Drosophila melanogaster: one gene and its partner. The protein of the gene in region 1 purifies or fractionates together with the protein of each later gene. This does not show direct contact. Each region holds a gene or a part of one and is shown on either strand. Other genes may lie near its edges.

Evidence for each region.
Region 2: the proteins of jagn (region 1) and CG31729 purify together in Drosophila melanogaster (affinity purification with mass spectrometry, with the first as the bait; one large-scale study listed by BioGRID). This does not show direct contact.

Annotation. Positions count from the first base shown.
Region 1 is NT_033777.3:5,775,703-5,783,916, reverse strand, and holds jagn (jagunal), read right to left. Parts: upstream 4,603-8,214; 5' UTR 4,490-4,602; coding exon 4,401-4,489; intron 4,118-4,400; coding exon 3,745-4,117; intron 3,683-3,744; coding exon 3,551-3,682; 3' UTR 2,609-3,550; downstream 1-2,608. Other genes in the region: kat-60L1 (katanin p60-like 1), read right to left, coding at 387-700. UniProt on the Drosophila melanogaster protein: Required for endoplasmic reticulum organization and proper vesicular traffic during vitellogenesis. Required for oocyte and bristle growth.
Region 2 is NT_033779.5:13,286,484-13,292,996, reverse strand, and holds the start of CG31729 (uncharacterized protein), read right to left. Parts: upstream 3,001-6,513; 5' UTR 2,311-3,000; coding exon 1,706-2,310; intron 1-1,705. Other genes in the region: Uvrag (UV-resistance associated gene), read right to left, coding at 3,707-3,821, 3,907-4,317, 4,370-4,692, 4,756-5,623, 5,684-6,057.

The sequences.
Region 1 (8,214 bases):
GCCGGATTGAGCGTGGAAAAACCCCGGCATGGGAAAGTCCAGTGATGGCGGATTTCCTTGGACTCGTAGTTATGATGGGCCACTTGAAATCGTGTCACCAAGGGGTGCTTATGCTAATCCCATTGGCACAACACAAGACATTTCGTACTATGCAAATTACAGCAAAATGCCAATTATGACTGGCAGAAATATACTCGCGAAAGGAAACTGGATGGGGTCAAGAAGGTACCCGGTGGCTTTCTTGTATGCAACAAAGGAAATACTTTGGGTTGATAGTTGACCAACCAACGAGCTAGTTACCAACTGCCAGGTCAAGGAATTCAAATGCGGAAGTAATCCAATTTATAGTGGATTTCTTGTGCCCACAGATCTCTACTAGCTCTTACCATTGGTGCAGATCCCAGAGCGAGTGGTATGGAGTGTGCCGGTAGGTGGGAACGAAGGGTACCGCCACCTCGTACTCAACCTGGACGTTGGGCGGCGACTGGGGCCGCGTGGCCAAGGCGTTTGAACGCCCCAGGACGGGATTGGAGCTGGTCAGCGATCGCTGGCGCATGAAGGAATGTTGCGCCGCCGCCGCCTGCTGCTGCTGCTGATTGTAGAGACTCGAATTGTTGTTGAGCAACTGGGCCACTCCGCCGCTCGGATCCACGGCTGTCTGGCCCATGCCGAACCAATTCTGTGCACTGGTGTTGAACATGGCGCTGTGCCGGCGTCACACAGATTAGGACGAGACACAGACACTTCACTATTAATTTAAAAACACACGCGGATATGTTCGGGCGGAAACTTTGCTACCTGACAGTCTGCGCCTGGAGCCTTCGATTGGCTCGCACTCGGAGTTCGAAAACGCGACCCGACCAGCCGACTCGAGGGTTGCAGTCCAACTGAAACTGACCGCTTGACTGGACGACGCGTCCACAACAAACCGACCACCACTACCATTCCGGTATGGAACGGACCGGACCGGGTAGTTTTCCCAGTTGCCTGGTGTGCGTCCGTGTGAATGCGGATTGAGGTTAAAGGAAGTTTCGCTTGGGCGCTACTTTGGGGGGCGGTTTCAATCATGGTAAATTACGGGGAAAGAGTATCTCGACTTGGGGGAAAATAAAGAAATCGCCGATCGGAGCTAGGAAATGCCATCTTTCTAAATATTGATTGAAATTCAAATATATGGATTTCAGTTTAATGGGTTTATGTTTGTTCTGCTTATATGCTCCTTGTATATAGCTATTGATAGGTAAAAAAAAGAATATATACAATATATAAATAAATGAAATATATAATATTTCTACTAATGTCTAGTTGCTTATCGAAGTTTCCTCATTGTCTAAAGGACATTCGTGCTTCTATGTAAGCCCACAGCACTCTCAACTCCTCGGGTTACCCAACGCGCTGGACTGTGGTCAATGCACGCTAGCTTCTGGCTCAAGATTTCATCGATTTCTGGGGAAAGCAAGGCGTTCACTCACTCGCGTATGCCCGACTATTTACTCAAACGGCAGTGGTTTCCCAATAATCTGCCGGCAATGTAATTTAATGGCAGGCTTGCATGCGGCCAAAGAAAGCCGGTTCTTGAGTTGGCCTCCCCCGAGGACCCAGAAACTATAGCATACGTTTGAGAGCACCGCCATTAGGAGGCTTGAAGTGGTTCGTCCACATTTCAATGTGCATGTAGGCAGAACCCGATAATCCGGAGGTGAGCCACAAGCGAAGGCCGTTTCGGATGCGCGCACACACATATAGTATCTGTATATGTATCTAAAAATCAGCTGCAGCGCGAGATAAAAATCGATTGCGGGGCGACAGTCATGGAACGCTCAAGTGTCTCGGCACGCCTTGCGCCTCCAACTGGCACCCACCCTTTTGGACCTTTGCCGTTGCGAAGCACTCACCCCGCAGGACTCATCACGGGCAGGTATGTGGAAGTGGAGTCCACGGTGCGTATGGTGGTGTTCCCTCGCAGCACAATCTTCTCGCGCGTGGTGCGCCTATAGGTCGCCTCCTCGACCCGCATTTTGCTCCACCAGTCGTTTATTATTTAAATTTAGTGCGAGTAATTTCGTAATTTTGAATTTTTCACAATTTTTTTTCCTTAGTTTTCGTGTTTACTTCGGTCCGAAATGGTGTGTTGGAAAATTCGGCATCCGTTCTTCGCACAGGCAATGTACAAATGGAAAATTAAGAGAGCGGGCGGAGCAGGGAGAAAAGGATGCTGCGGAAAAGCTTTGGCTCTCCGCCACAGCTTTTTCTCTCTCTGTCTCAGCTTCCTGGCTCTCCGTCGCCAATTGTAAACAATTGCGCAATGCTCGCCTGCTGTTGCTCCTCCACTCGCCTCGATGCACAAATGGTCACTAAAACTGGATTGTTGTGGCCAATTCGGCCTGCCAGCCGCATTGCAACGGCCTGTGGGGTTGTGTTGGATTGTATTGCTTTGGGCGAAGGTCCTTATTTGGTGGTGTTTTTCAAGAAATAAAGCTTGAGAACTTGTATTTGCCTCTTTAAAGTTATGATAAATATTGTAGATGAGCATATAAACATTAAGTGACTTAATAGGTATACTTATCAAAATTTGTTTTAAATCAACCGCAATAAAATGCTATGTTTAACCCACTCAGAAGAACAAATATATATGCATCTTTATTGATCGATTTTTAAAAAACTACTTAAAAATTCGAATAATAAATTACGATTTAAAAAACATCATTACATTAAAATTCAATTCTCAGTTTAGTTTGGCGACATGCCTGTCATTACACAGTATTATTGACGATCAGAAATTGAAGAACTTTGCTTTAACACTCAAATTGCATTTCAATCCTTATTTATAGTAGTGTGTAAACAGTGACAGAAGGTTGTAAATAGTTTGGGGCAGTTCTCAAACGTTCAGCACCCGGCCAGACGCCTTAAAGCATGGCACTGTGCGGTTCGATGAATAAAATTCAAAATTAACGTACTGGCAAAAATGAAACGGTTTCGAAATTTGTAGAAAAGTGAACTAATTATCAACTAGGCGAGGAAGTAACCATCCGTGGACGCAAACATAAACTGATGTACGCATATTTTCATGTGTAAATATATATATAAAACGTTTCTAACAAACACGAGGCACGTCGAAATGTAAGTGAGCAAAAATGAAGTGATCTCTAGGTTGGTTTTCAGTTTTTATTCCGACTCGGGGAAATTTGGTGGCTTCAGTTGCTTCTTGTCTTTAGTTGACCTCACAAGGCTGCGTATGTGTGTATATATGTATGTCTATGTGTATAGGTGTACATGTGTATATGGATAAGAGTCTATTTAATCAATTTGAAAACGGTATCAACTAACTTTCAACTAACAATAACCTTACCGCCGACGCTTCGCTCAGTTTCGACCATATGTTTCCCTTCCTGTATGACTAAGTGTGCGATACCTTAACAGCTGCATAACTTTAGTTTACCATAGTTTCATTACGCTTTTGTGCACTAGTGTTTTGAGTTAGTTTCAAGTTTCCAAATTATTTACAACTAGCCCTGCATTCCGGCGTTTACTAGTTTGGCGAGTATTTAGATTACTGGAACTTGCGCGTGGCAGTTCTGGCCTTCCAGGCCTTGACCAGGTTGTAGGCGAAGTACAGCGTAAATCCGTGCACCTGGAAGCCCACAAAGCAGAAGGCATACCAGAAGACGCCGTACGGATAACCCTGTAGAAAAACCGAGGTTTAGTAGGGCGGCTCTTGAGGGATTAACTGGCCCAGCCACTTACGCGCCACACAAAGATGTCTGTCTCGTCCAGCTCCACCGACTTGTCCAGCGTGGCGAACTCCCACACGTCCGAGAAGTAGTAGGCGAAGCAGTAGAAGAGTGGCAGGATGGCGAATAGCAGTATGGCCACCATATACTTCTGCATTTCGCGCACCTTGTTGCCCCTGGCGGCCGAAAGGCCCAGGAAGGAGGTGAGCAACGACGCGGCCCACACGTACTCCCACCACAGGGGCGGTGGGACCTCCAGCTCCTCGATCTCCAGCACAAAGATATCCAGGTGGTCCAGAATGTCCGACGTCAGCTTGGCCAGCATCACGAAGAACAGCAGGGCGTGAAAGAAGATGCAGTACTTCAACCTGGACTTGTTCAGCAGGCTAAAAGAGCAGAGAAAGTGGTCGTTCAGTGGCGGATCTGTGTGGGTGAGCCCCATATTGGGGCGCACATGCTGCCCAGCTGGCACTTTGCCCACCCGCCCCCTACAGCAGCAAGTGGGTGGGTGCAGCAGCTCCAGGGTGCTCCGCCGCCCTGGCTGGACGCCACCTGCGATTCGGCTGCAGTAGGTGCCGCCTGCAGGTGGATCTACTGCCACAGGCGCCCCAGTAATTAGATAATTTCGAGTGTAGCTGAGAGCTGGCGATAGCACGAAGTGTTATTAACCTAATTTGATATGTGCCAGCTACGCGCTGCCTGAACTCGAAGTCGTTGCCATCGGTGCCCGCGACCATTGGTCCGCCGCGCGTTGCCATTTCGTTGCCTTCGTTCGTGGGTCGTGTCGTTCGCTCACGTCGTTGCTTATTTTTAATAAATAATTGCACAAAAAATAGGGCTGGCACTAGAATCGATGTGTGTGCGATACCATCGCTGCCACCAAAAAACTGGCGCACATCGATACGCTCCTCGCTACCATCGATTACTTTCGCTTGAAAGCATAGCAAATAACCGTTAGAAAGAGAGGGGAAATTCCGCTAAGTTTTAGAATGTTCATTTTCAGAAAGTCTGCCATGGAAACTATTAATACATCTGCATGGAAACTGTTTACAAAACATTAATTAAATTAAATAATTAGCCTTTTAACTGTATTAGCAACACGTGATTAGTCATATTATTTAATTATTTTAACTTATTCTATTACAGTTATTAAACAGTTATTAGTTTTAATAAAGTGGCAATGTGGTCGTGGTGACTAGCTCCGCTTAGGGAAATTTTAATTGGGAGGATGACTTCGCTAGGTGTGTAACCTCGCTAATGCTGTGTAGAATAAATGTGTTATACTTACATACGTAGAACTTCAGTTTTTCTCTAGTTAGTTTCGGCAGAATGTAGATAGATATTCGAACTAGTCGCAAATGAGAACGATTTTTTAAAGGTAATGCTGAGAGTTTAGCATTGCTAATCTGAAAAGTGGGCTGGTGAAAAATAAAACCAAACCTATTCTTAATGGCATTAATGGCACTTAATACTTTAATTTTCATATCTTTTTTGCACGATTTTAGAAAATGAGGGCTGGTTTTAATACTCCGATTGAAATCTTCCATCCATATGAGAATTATTTCTACTAAAAGTACAAACGCTAGACTAAAATGAATTGAATTGCATTCCAATTCCAATATGTCTTATAGACCAAATGGCAGAACTAGTAAGATTTAGTAATGATTAATGATTAATGAACGGGTCGCGATGAAAAATATTACTCGTAGATTAAAAAAGAAGTATTCTAGATTCCTTTTTCAACGAATATGTATCAGGTGAAAGGAAGTGTTTTTCGAGCCAATAAAGCATATATTGGTAAGGAACACTAGCCGAATCGAACTGGCCATGTCCGTCCGTATGCACGTCGAGATCTCAGGAACTACATATATAAGAGAGATTAATTTAGTTTTATTGCTATGTCAGAAAATGTTGAAATTCATGTTTGAACTTTCACTAGCAGAGAAAGGAGTATCTAATAGTCGGGGAACTCGCCTGTAGCGTTCCCTCTTGTTTTAGTTTCTCCGTACCTTGTTTTTGAATTTGAACTGCAGTTCCAATTTTTCGAAGCCAATAATGCCTAGTGCGTCAAGCCGAAATTATCATAATTGGGTGCAAGTGCTCTTTGATGGGATTATGCAAATTGGATGCAGCTTTGTGTCCCAATCAGTTTTCCAGATTGGAAGCAGTGGGTGTGTCCGGCGGACTTTCGGCGCTCTGTCAACTGGCCAGCACCTGTTGCACCGAAATCCATAAATCAATCTGCCACGAAACAAGAAACAAGCGAGGAAAAGCCAATCTGCGAAAATAGAGAGGGCGACGACGTTTAAAAATAAAATAATGAATTTCCCATTTCAACGCACTCTCTTTATGCTCGCTACGCTACAAAAGTCGAGCATTCGGCCCGGGTGTGTCATCAGTTCTACGGCGGTATTCCTCCGACTTGGACGCGTTTTCATCGCATGCGATCGTCTCCGGCCGAAAGTCGCGTCTTTCCCGCTCCGATTTTAATGTCAGTTGTTGATAATTTCCGCTCGAATATTTATGCTGAGCTCGGTGGCTGACACTTTCGAGTCCAAAGTTGAAGTTGCGCCATAATTGCGATTCGGTCCATAAGGTAATAGACCAGAATAGTACCATCACAATGAGTGGCACTTGCATATTAATTGCATTTCATCGCCGAGTCTTTCTTTGTTTTCGCCAAAAATGAAAACACATACGCGGCAGATTTCATGACTTTTGGGGCCGGGACCTCCACCTCGAATGTTGCCATTATATATATATATATTTTTTTTTTTTGGCAAATAATGCTATATGAACTATAAACCAATTGGTTAACCCTAAGAATAGAAATAAAAGGAATTCGGCTAGCAAGATGGCTCCTGCATAGATTGTACTTGCACTAGCAACTAGTATTTGGTATTGGTATTGGGTCTTGTTGATGTCCACTGTATTTGCATATGATTCGACTTAGCGTGTGCCGTGCGATATTTGCTTAGTTATTACAGACTTAAAACCATATCGATCGTGTGCCTTAGATAGATAACAGCCTGTTTAAAGTTCTGCCTCTTTTCATTTCAGCTGCGTTCCCCGGTGATACCTACACCCCCGCGTGACTTGTCGGTTCCCAGTATCTTCCGGATAGCCCAGTCCCAGTCACCGATCCTGAACCGCATCCAGAGCCCCAGTCCAACCATGTCCATTGCCGATAAACGCGCCTCCTTCGCGCGCCGCGCCGAATCCCTGGTGGAGCGGGTGAGAGTTATGAATACCATTTACGAGGTACCGGCATTAAGTGACCACGGATCGTGAGATCGATACTCGGTTTTGTTTGTTGCTTGCTGCCCCGCTTGCCACTAATTCAGATTTATGTTGTCAGCACTGCTGCTGGCACGGCTCGTAATTTATGGCTCGAGGCGTTAAATGTGTTTCACCCATGCCATGACACTTTCCCAGTAGAAACAACAGTCCCAGGCACAGTCAAATTCCCAGTAGCATCGATATACATACATATCTGATTAGGTACCAATGGCCGTGGGTGGCGGGGCTCAGACAGCCAGTCGGTATTTCTCGGCTGATGGTGACGCTGTTTGGCTTGGCCCGACTGCTTTAATTAATCTGAAACACTCGCGTACGTTGTGCACATCGCCTTAATGAGTGGGGCCAAATTGTGCTCGGATCAAGGTCGTCGGAAGTGTTCCCTATCACAAGACCGATTGCCTCCTATGGGCATGGTTACACCCGCCGCACAAATGTGTGTGTGTTTCTGAAGGGCAGCTCTCGGTGGTCTCAAATCCATGTACGAGTATGTATGTTCTTCAGTAGTTGGAATGGCCTTTTGGCCGGCAGAACAAACTAAGGCTATACTCGTAGGTGGCACAGGTCACCACGGAGCATACAGCTCTTTAGTATTAAAGAAACCTAGATTGGATGATCCTGATCCTTATAGGGCACAAGAACGATCAAAATCAGTTCGGCTTGCTACCAATGGCATATTCGCACTCGCGGGGCATAAAAGAGTCATTGCTCCACTGTCTAGCTAAAAATAGGTGTCCCCATGCAAATAGCCCCCAAAACTGCGCGGTCATCGTGGATGTAGCAGTGGCAGTGCTTATGCTTCTGTATGGGATTGTATGGGGACTCAATGGAATTTTAGCAGAGTAGCCCCAAGCGAATTTGTCAGCGGTTGGGAGAAGTGAAGACAGTCGGGGGCAATGGGAAGAAGGCAAAGAGTTGCATGGGAGTAGGGAAAGACGTCCATATAATGGCATCCACACTGCAGCTTTAAGTGAGCGGACTGACCAGGGCACGGCACACTCACTGGAAAGACCGGGTTCATTGGACAGACGATCCATTTCAAAATGATTTCTGCACATCCATACATCGAATACCAAGAGTAAAGAGAGAGAAATTGGGTGGTCTAAAGGCAATGAATGGGAAATAAAAACGAATTAAAGTGACACTTTTGAAAGAATATTCATTTTATTGTGTACATACATTTGAT
Region 2 (6,513 bases), on another chromosome or scaffold:
ACAAATAGATGTTCACATAAGGAAACGCTTTGTCAACATAGAAAATTTAGAAGTTTAAATAACCATATCAATCTGCAGATCTATGCTGCAATTATTTGAAGTTGGGCGGCAGAGAAACTTTCAATTTTTAACACAGAAAGCAGAGTCCGACCGAAAAAGTAAAACTAAAAACCCTAAAGCGACTCACTTCTTGTGTGCAACTCGTTTGTATTTTTTAGAAACCTTGAATACAAGATTGTGTTGTGTGGCCAAAACCAGCTGAGGAACTGGTTTTCGAATTTTTTAGCATTTCTTGGTGACTTCTTGAGTCGTTTTCGTTCATGTTTCTTATTTTCGTTCGCCCACCAATGGGGCTTAAAGTCGCACGGCAAACATCGATTAAAAATGCACAGCTAACGGGTGGTGTTGTGTGTGATATTTTTGGCCAAAGTTTTGCGGCAACAAGAGTTTGTACTCTAAAACAAAAACAAAACAAAATAATAAGAAAAACGCTCGCTTAGTGGGTGTGGAGCAAGGAAATGGCAAGGAAAGGCGGGGCATGGATGGCAATGTTTGCGTTTCGTTTATGCCTTGTCACCCAACCAAGTCGCTCGTCTTGGCCACTATTTATAGCCGTGTTTTTGTTATTATTTTCCATTCGTCGAAATCTTTTCCCCCAGTCTTGGAAGTCGTCACGTTTATCGATTTGCACAGTCCGTCGACGGCGCGCAGAAAACGAAATGTTTTTAATTTTCTTTCTACGATCCACTTACAGACGTGCTTGCTTGTTCGCATGTGCGGCCTTTCTCAAAAGTTCTCTCTAATTAGGTAAATTAAAAATATATCTTGGAATCGTTATATATATATGCTATACATATATGCTTTACATACAGTTGCATTCATTGTGTATGTCACACATGTGTGGCGCACAAATTCTCACACATTCAGCTAGAATTTATTTTCTTGGAAATGTGTTTCGTAAAAGTTCTAAGTTAAGAAGAACATCAAATTGCAAGACAACGCTGCTCATTTTGGGAAACCACACAATGATTTGGCTCATGCCAAAAAATAATAAACAAATATTTCAAGTGGCAGAAACAAAACAACAACTTGTTTGCCATAACAACTGTTGAGTTGCGAAAGTGATAGAATGTCTAGAACGTTACAGAGGTCAACGTTTTTTCTTGCCAAATATTTAATATACATTTCAATTATTTATAGAAGTTTACGATGAAAAACAGTTTTATACCTAGTGTTGTCAGCATTTTATGAGCAATGGTATTCTACGTTCAAAGTCAACTATCTACGGAAACACAGATTATAAAATTCCACAAAACTAATTTATTTCATAAGACATTTAAATTGAAGCGATAAGAGATAATATTTCTTCAAAAATATACAAATTTTCGAGGTCTTAATGTGATAGATTAAAACTTTTGCTTCCTGCTATAGTTATAATTTATTCAATACCTTGTGGTAAAAGTAAAAGGGTCTCAATCGCCATTAAACGCTTATGTGCGAAAATATAAAACATTTAACCATTTTCCCTAAAGGTAACACTTGAATTCCCAATATTTTGCTGGCCAGTGAACAGCTGTTGCGGCACTATATACTTTCGCATTACTCCCGCTGCCGCCAACTATTGCAGCAGTGAAATGGAAATATTGCGCATACGCAGCGTTGGCATTGGAGGGTAACGACTGGATCGCACCGAATGCACACTCACCTGCAGAGGCACAACTTGCAGACGTTGCCAATGCTGCGACTCTTGCTTTTACGCCGATTGTGCTGGTAGAAGACCGTGGATGAGCCATTTTCCGGATCTATGACGGTTGTGCTGTGCGTAGCGCCATTGCTGAGATCCCCCGTGGCAGCAGATCCTCCAGATGCCGCTACACTGCCATCGCCAGTGGTTACTTTAATGCCGGTGGCACTGCCACTCCCACCACCACCGCCACCGATCGATCCCGCCCCCGCGACGCCCGATGACGTGTGCGTTAATTGCGCCAGTTTCGAAATGCTGCTGTAGCTACCGTTTGAGTGTTTGGCGCGCTCGCGACTCCGCTCATTTCTATAACGTATCTGGCCGGCGGCAGAGCCAAAACTGTTGGATCCGAAAAGATTGCCCAGAAAGCTGCCTCCGCCGCCGGCGGCAGAGCTGCCAGCGCCGGCGTCGACGCCGCTGTAGCCCATGGAGCTTTTGCGTCGCCCCCTAATGTTGTTGTTGTTCTGTTTACCGCTCGGTACATCGCGGCGTATGAGCAATTCGGTCTCCGAATCCGTTTCGCTCTCTTCGTCGAAATCTCGTAGCGGTACATTGCTCTCAGCCATTTTCAAAACAAGAGAGCTTAAAAGAGAGCAAGCGTAGTCAGCTTAAAGTAATAAGTTTTGATTAAAAGAGCTGTTCGAAAGAGTTTTGGCGCCTGAATTTAACTAATTAGCACCAGAAATGCAGTTTTACTCTCACTTTCAGATGATATTATCTCAGAAAAATTAAATGCTGGGTACTCAGTTAGTCTTATTGCCACGTTTCCATTGAGCAATTTTCAGGCGTGAACGACGGCTGCTCCTTATCACACCTGGAGTTTTATTCTTTTATTTTTTATTTGAGCGGTAAACAGGTAGGGTAAACACACTATATATACGCGTAAATCACAGGCATTCCCCGTCGTCCGCTTATCAGTGGCTACAGTTGCCGGCTACCAAATCGTCACCATAAATACCAATTGCCTACTATTGCTCAGCGTTTTAATTTAATTGATACGAATTCGATAAATAAAAGGCCAAGGCCCGGGCCACACACACATATGCACATGCACTTCATTTAGCACGTTGGTTTGCAGGCTTTTCGCGTTTTCAATTATTAAATCGATTATCGCACTACGTTTGGACGTTGTTTGGGTATTTGACAACACATTTTTTATTTATTAATAGCCCGGATGTAGCCCGAAAAACATTCAAATCCCGGAAGCAAGTTGCCAGCGAAATAATTTTGGCGAAATGCTAATCAGCTGGCTTTACAGACCACTGTTAACGGAACGGAACGTTTTGCAGCACTGACCAAGCAGTGGCTGTAATATTTTGAGTTTATTAAGGATTTAAAGCAAAACTTACATTTTAAATTATAAAGCAAAAGTTAATATAAGCAGATTGTACAATATTATGTAGTAACAGTAGCACATGGTATAATTTTTATAAGTTAAAGGAGCAATTTATCTTCATACTTTGCAACACTTTTTGGCGCCTAATTCAAACTATAATTAAAACTCATAAAAATACTTTTCAAACAGAATATACAAATAAACTAATTTTGGGGCTCAGCATTATTTCAGAACATATGAAGAAAGGCTTAGGTTTTCCGCATCGTAACCACTTCGTTTATTGTGACCTTGGATATTGTTCGACTTAATCTCTATCGACGTGTTTCTAATGTTTGTCATCCATATTAAATAAATATTTGTCATGTATAAAATATTTAATCTTTATTCGTAGCTTATATTAGCAAACAAACAATAAAAGGGAATTTACACAGAGATCTTAAACAACTAAAAATAATATTATCGCAATGGACTACCGTTCACATATACTTCACCATTGACTTTTATAATTTAAAAGTATACAATACGCGGCCAATACCAAGAAACCCGCTGAGGAGGAGCCGCTAAACAATGCTATCTTGGATATTGGATATAAACGCTGGAAATATAACACTTTTGGGTGCATTAGCTCAGCTGCGCTCAGTTTGCAGAGTTATGTTGGAGTCCGAATTGGAATAGTTATGCTCCAGTCGCGGGCGAAACTCATCCTCGCCATCTGAATAGGACCCCACCGAACGGCAAATGCTGCAAGAATATTACAATATATTATTATTAAATTTTATCCGGTAGTTTTTGTTTTTGGCTCTAAATATATGTATATATAGATTACCGTTGAGTTGACGCATAGCCTTCGATTGCCAGTGCCTCACTCACACCCGGCGGCAACAGCTGCTGGAGCAGTGCATCCTTGACCGCATTGACGCCAGTCGGCAGTGGCACATGATTCATGTCGACCGAAGAGTGCGATTGCGACAGGTGCGGCGCCGTCAACCCATTTGCCAAGCGTGCTTCTCCACAGCCAGCTCCAACTGCAGTTCCATCCCGTTCGTCGACCTCATCCCTTTGCGTTCGTTCGATGTAGCGAAGAGTGCTGAATAGCTCCAGCAGATTGCCAAAAGTGTTTCGCAGATCGCACTGGCCCGTGATGTCGAAGCACAGCTGCGAAACATTCTGGCGCAAAAGGTAGATGGCATACTTTGTTTGCTGCGACGGCAAAATGGAGCGTGTATACAGAGGAAATCTAAGATGGAACAATAAGATACCAAAAGGTAATATTTAGTCTGTGTGCTTACTCTCTTGTTGTGTACGTCAACTCTTTGATATCGTCCACTATCCTTGCTTTCGATGGCTCGTACAGAATACGGTTCCTCAGAGGTCGATCCATAATGATGGCTAACATCTGCACCAAATGGGCAACATAACCCAGTGCCGCACTCACTGCCAGCGGCGAGACGTTATCCAGAAGCTGTGCGTTTGCCGCCTGACGTGACTCGCTCGTGTATTGCTCCATGTGGGGGAAGGCGATGCCGCAGATACTAAATTGCCGACCGCCCACATTCTGGATGTTATAGATCTCCTGTAGCTCCAACACCAGTGTGGACATTCGGCGCTCCACCTTAAAAGGGTGAAAAGGTTTATTAATATACTTGTTTAATGTTATTTGATTCCGCAGCCCCACCTGCCGTTCTATTTGTCTTTTTTGATCGCGCTGTTCCAGATGTTGAGGTGCCAGGGTTCGTAGCTCCAGACGTTCTTTTTCCAGTCGATGTCGCTGGCTGTGGAGCTCCCATTGCTGTGCCTCCCGCTGTTCTCTCATCTCCTTCAGAAGTTGACGGGTGCGCTCGTTTCGTTGGCGAAACGTTTCCCGCTCCGCTTTAAGTAGCCGCTGTTGACTGCTTAGCGCTTCTATCCTTCTAGTTAGCTGCTGGGCATTATAAAGCGTGAGGGGCGCGATCTGCTGCTGCTCGGCGAGCAACACGCTCAGGGCGCGGCCCATGGAATGGTACTGATGGGCGGAGTAGTCGCCGGACAGCGATGTCGTGCGGGGCTTCAAGCGCAGCTCGTTCCTGGTCACACAGTGTACACTGAGGCGGGCTATTTCTCGGCAAACCTCGGCCATTTGACGCCGCTTCTGCTGATGCAAGCGTTGCAGACGTTGCAACGTGAGAAGCTTTTCGAGGTTGTTGCTTCGCCGAATCTCCTGCCGTTGGCACTTCAGCTGTGCATAGCGCATCGTACTCATTCGCAGCACGGGACTCGAACTACGACTAACGGCCGGCGAGTTTATGCCCTCATCCTGCGGCTCTTCTAGTTTCTCTTCCTCCGCATACTTTTGGTAGTGCAAATGCAGCTGCGACTGCAAGGCCTGCTCGCTTATCATCGACGGGGAGGCAAATTGCTCGCCATTCAATTGAAAGACCAAGCAATTTCGTCCGCACTGGGACAATGTGAGGGGAGACAGAGGTATAAGGCCGGAGAAGTAGACGCCCCAGCTGAACAGTAGTTCAGGAGGGCGTGGCAGCCTGCTGGGCGTTAACTGGGATCTTCTGGAAGTAAGTTGGTTGATGATAGCAGAGTTCTATTTGCAAGCAAAGTCTCCTATTTACCCGAAAACATCCTTATGTCTTTGCTCAACCTCAGGCGGTTGGCCATCTCTTCTTTCCGCCGAATAGTGCTTCCACACCTTGACACAGACACACTGCGCATTGGTTTTCCGCCAGGCCTCGTCGTCCGTACAAATCTCCGCCCACTTTTGCTGTTGGTGACGCTGCGGCAGCTTTTCGCTGGTGTAGAACGCTTCGCTAGCCTTGTCCGTGTGTAGTGTGTAGTAGAGGAGCACATCATCCGGATCATCTAGCTCCAGCGACTTCTCATGCGGCCAGGACTCAATATTGAATCCCTGAATTCTGTTAAGGTTCCGCAGTCGAAGTTGCTGGGTGGCTAGGGGCAGCCACTTGCGGCATCGCGGCCGTAGATTCATCGTAAAACGCCTTTCCGGGTGAGCTGCGGATTACGCGGAGCCCGTAGCCCAGATCATTGTACACTAAGACTACGTTTGTTATAGTTTTTCCACAGAAACTTTTAACAAAAAAAATGATTACCCGAACAGCTGTTTTTAGATGCATAAGTGCTGCAAAACACTGAAGGCAATAGTGGTGGGAAATGCGCCGTTCAACTTGTATTTTATTAATTTGGCTATTTTCATTTTATTAATTTACACATTATTTAATTTAAGAATAAATGAAAATTTTATCAATTTGAATTGATTAATAAAAATATAAAAAATATTTCGTTAATTACAAAACACGGGAAAAAATAAATTATTATTATATAGCTTTTTGCAATTTTTAGCTAAAATTGCAGCACAACTAAAGAATCTTTCAATGAGAATCTAGTGTTGAGAAGCGCGAAAAATGCCTTGTTCTGCTAGTTTATT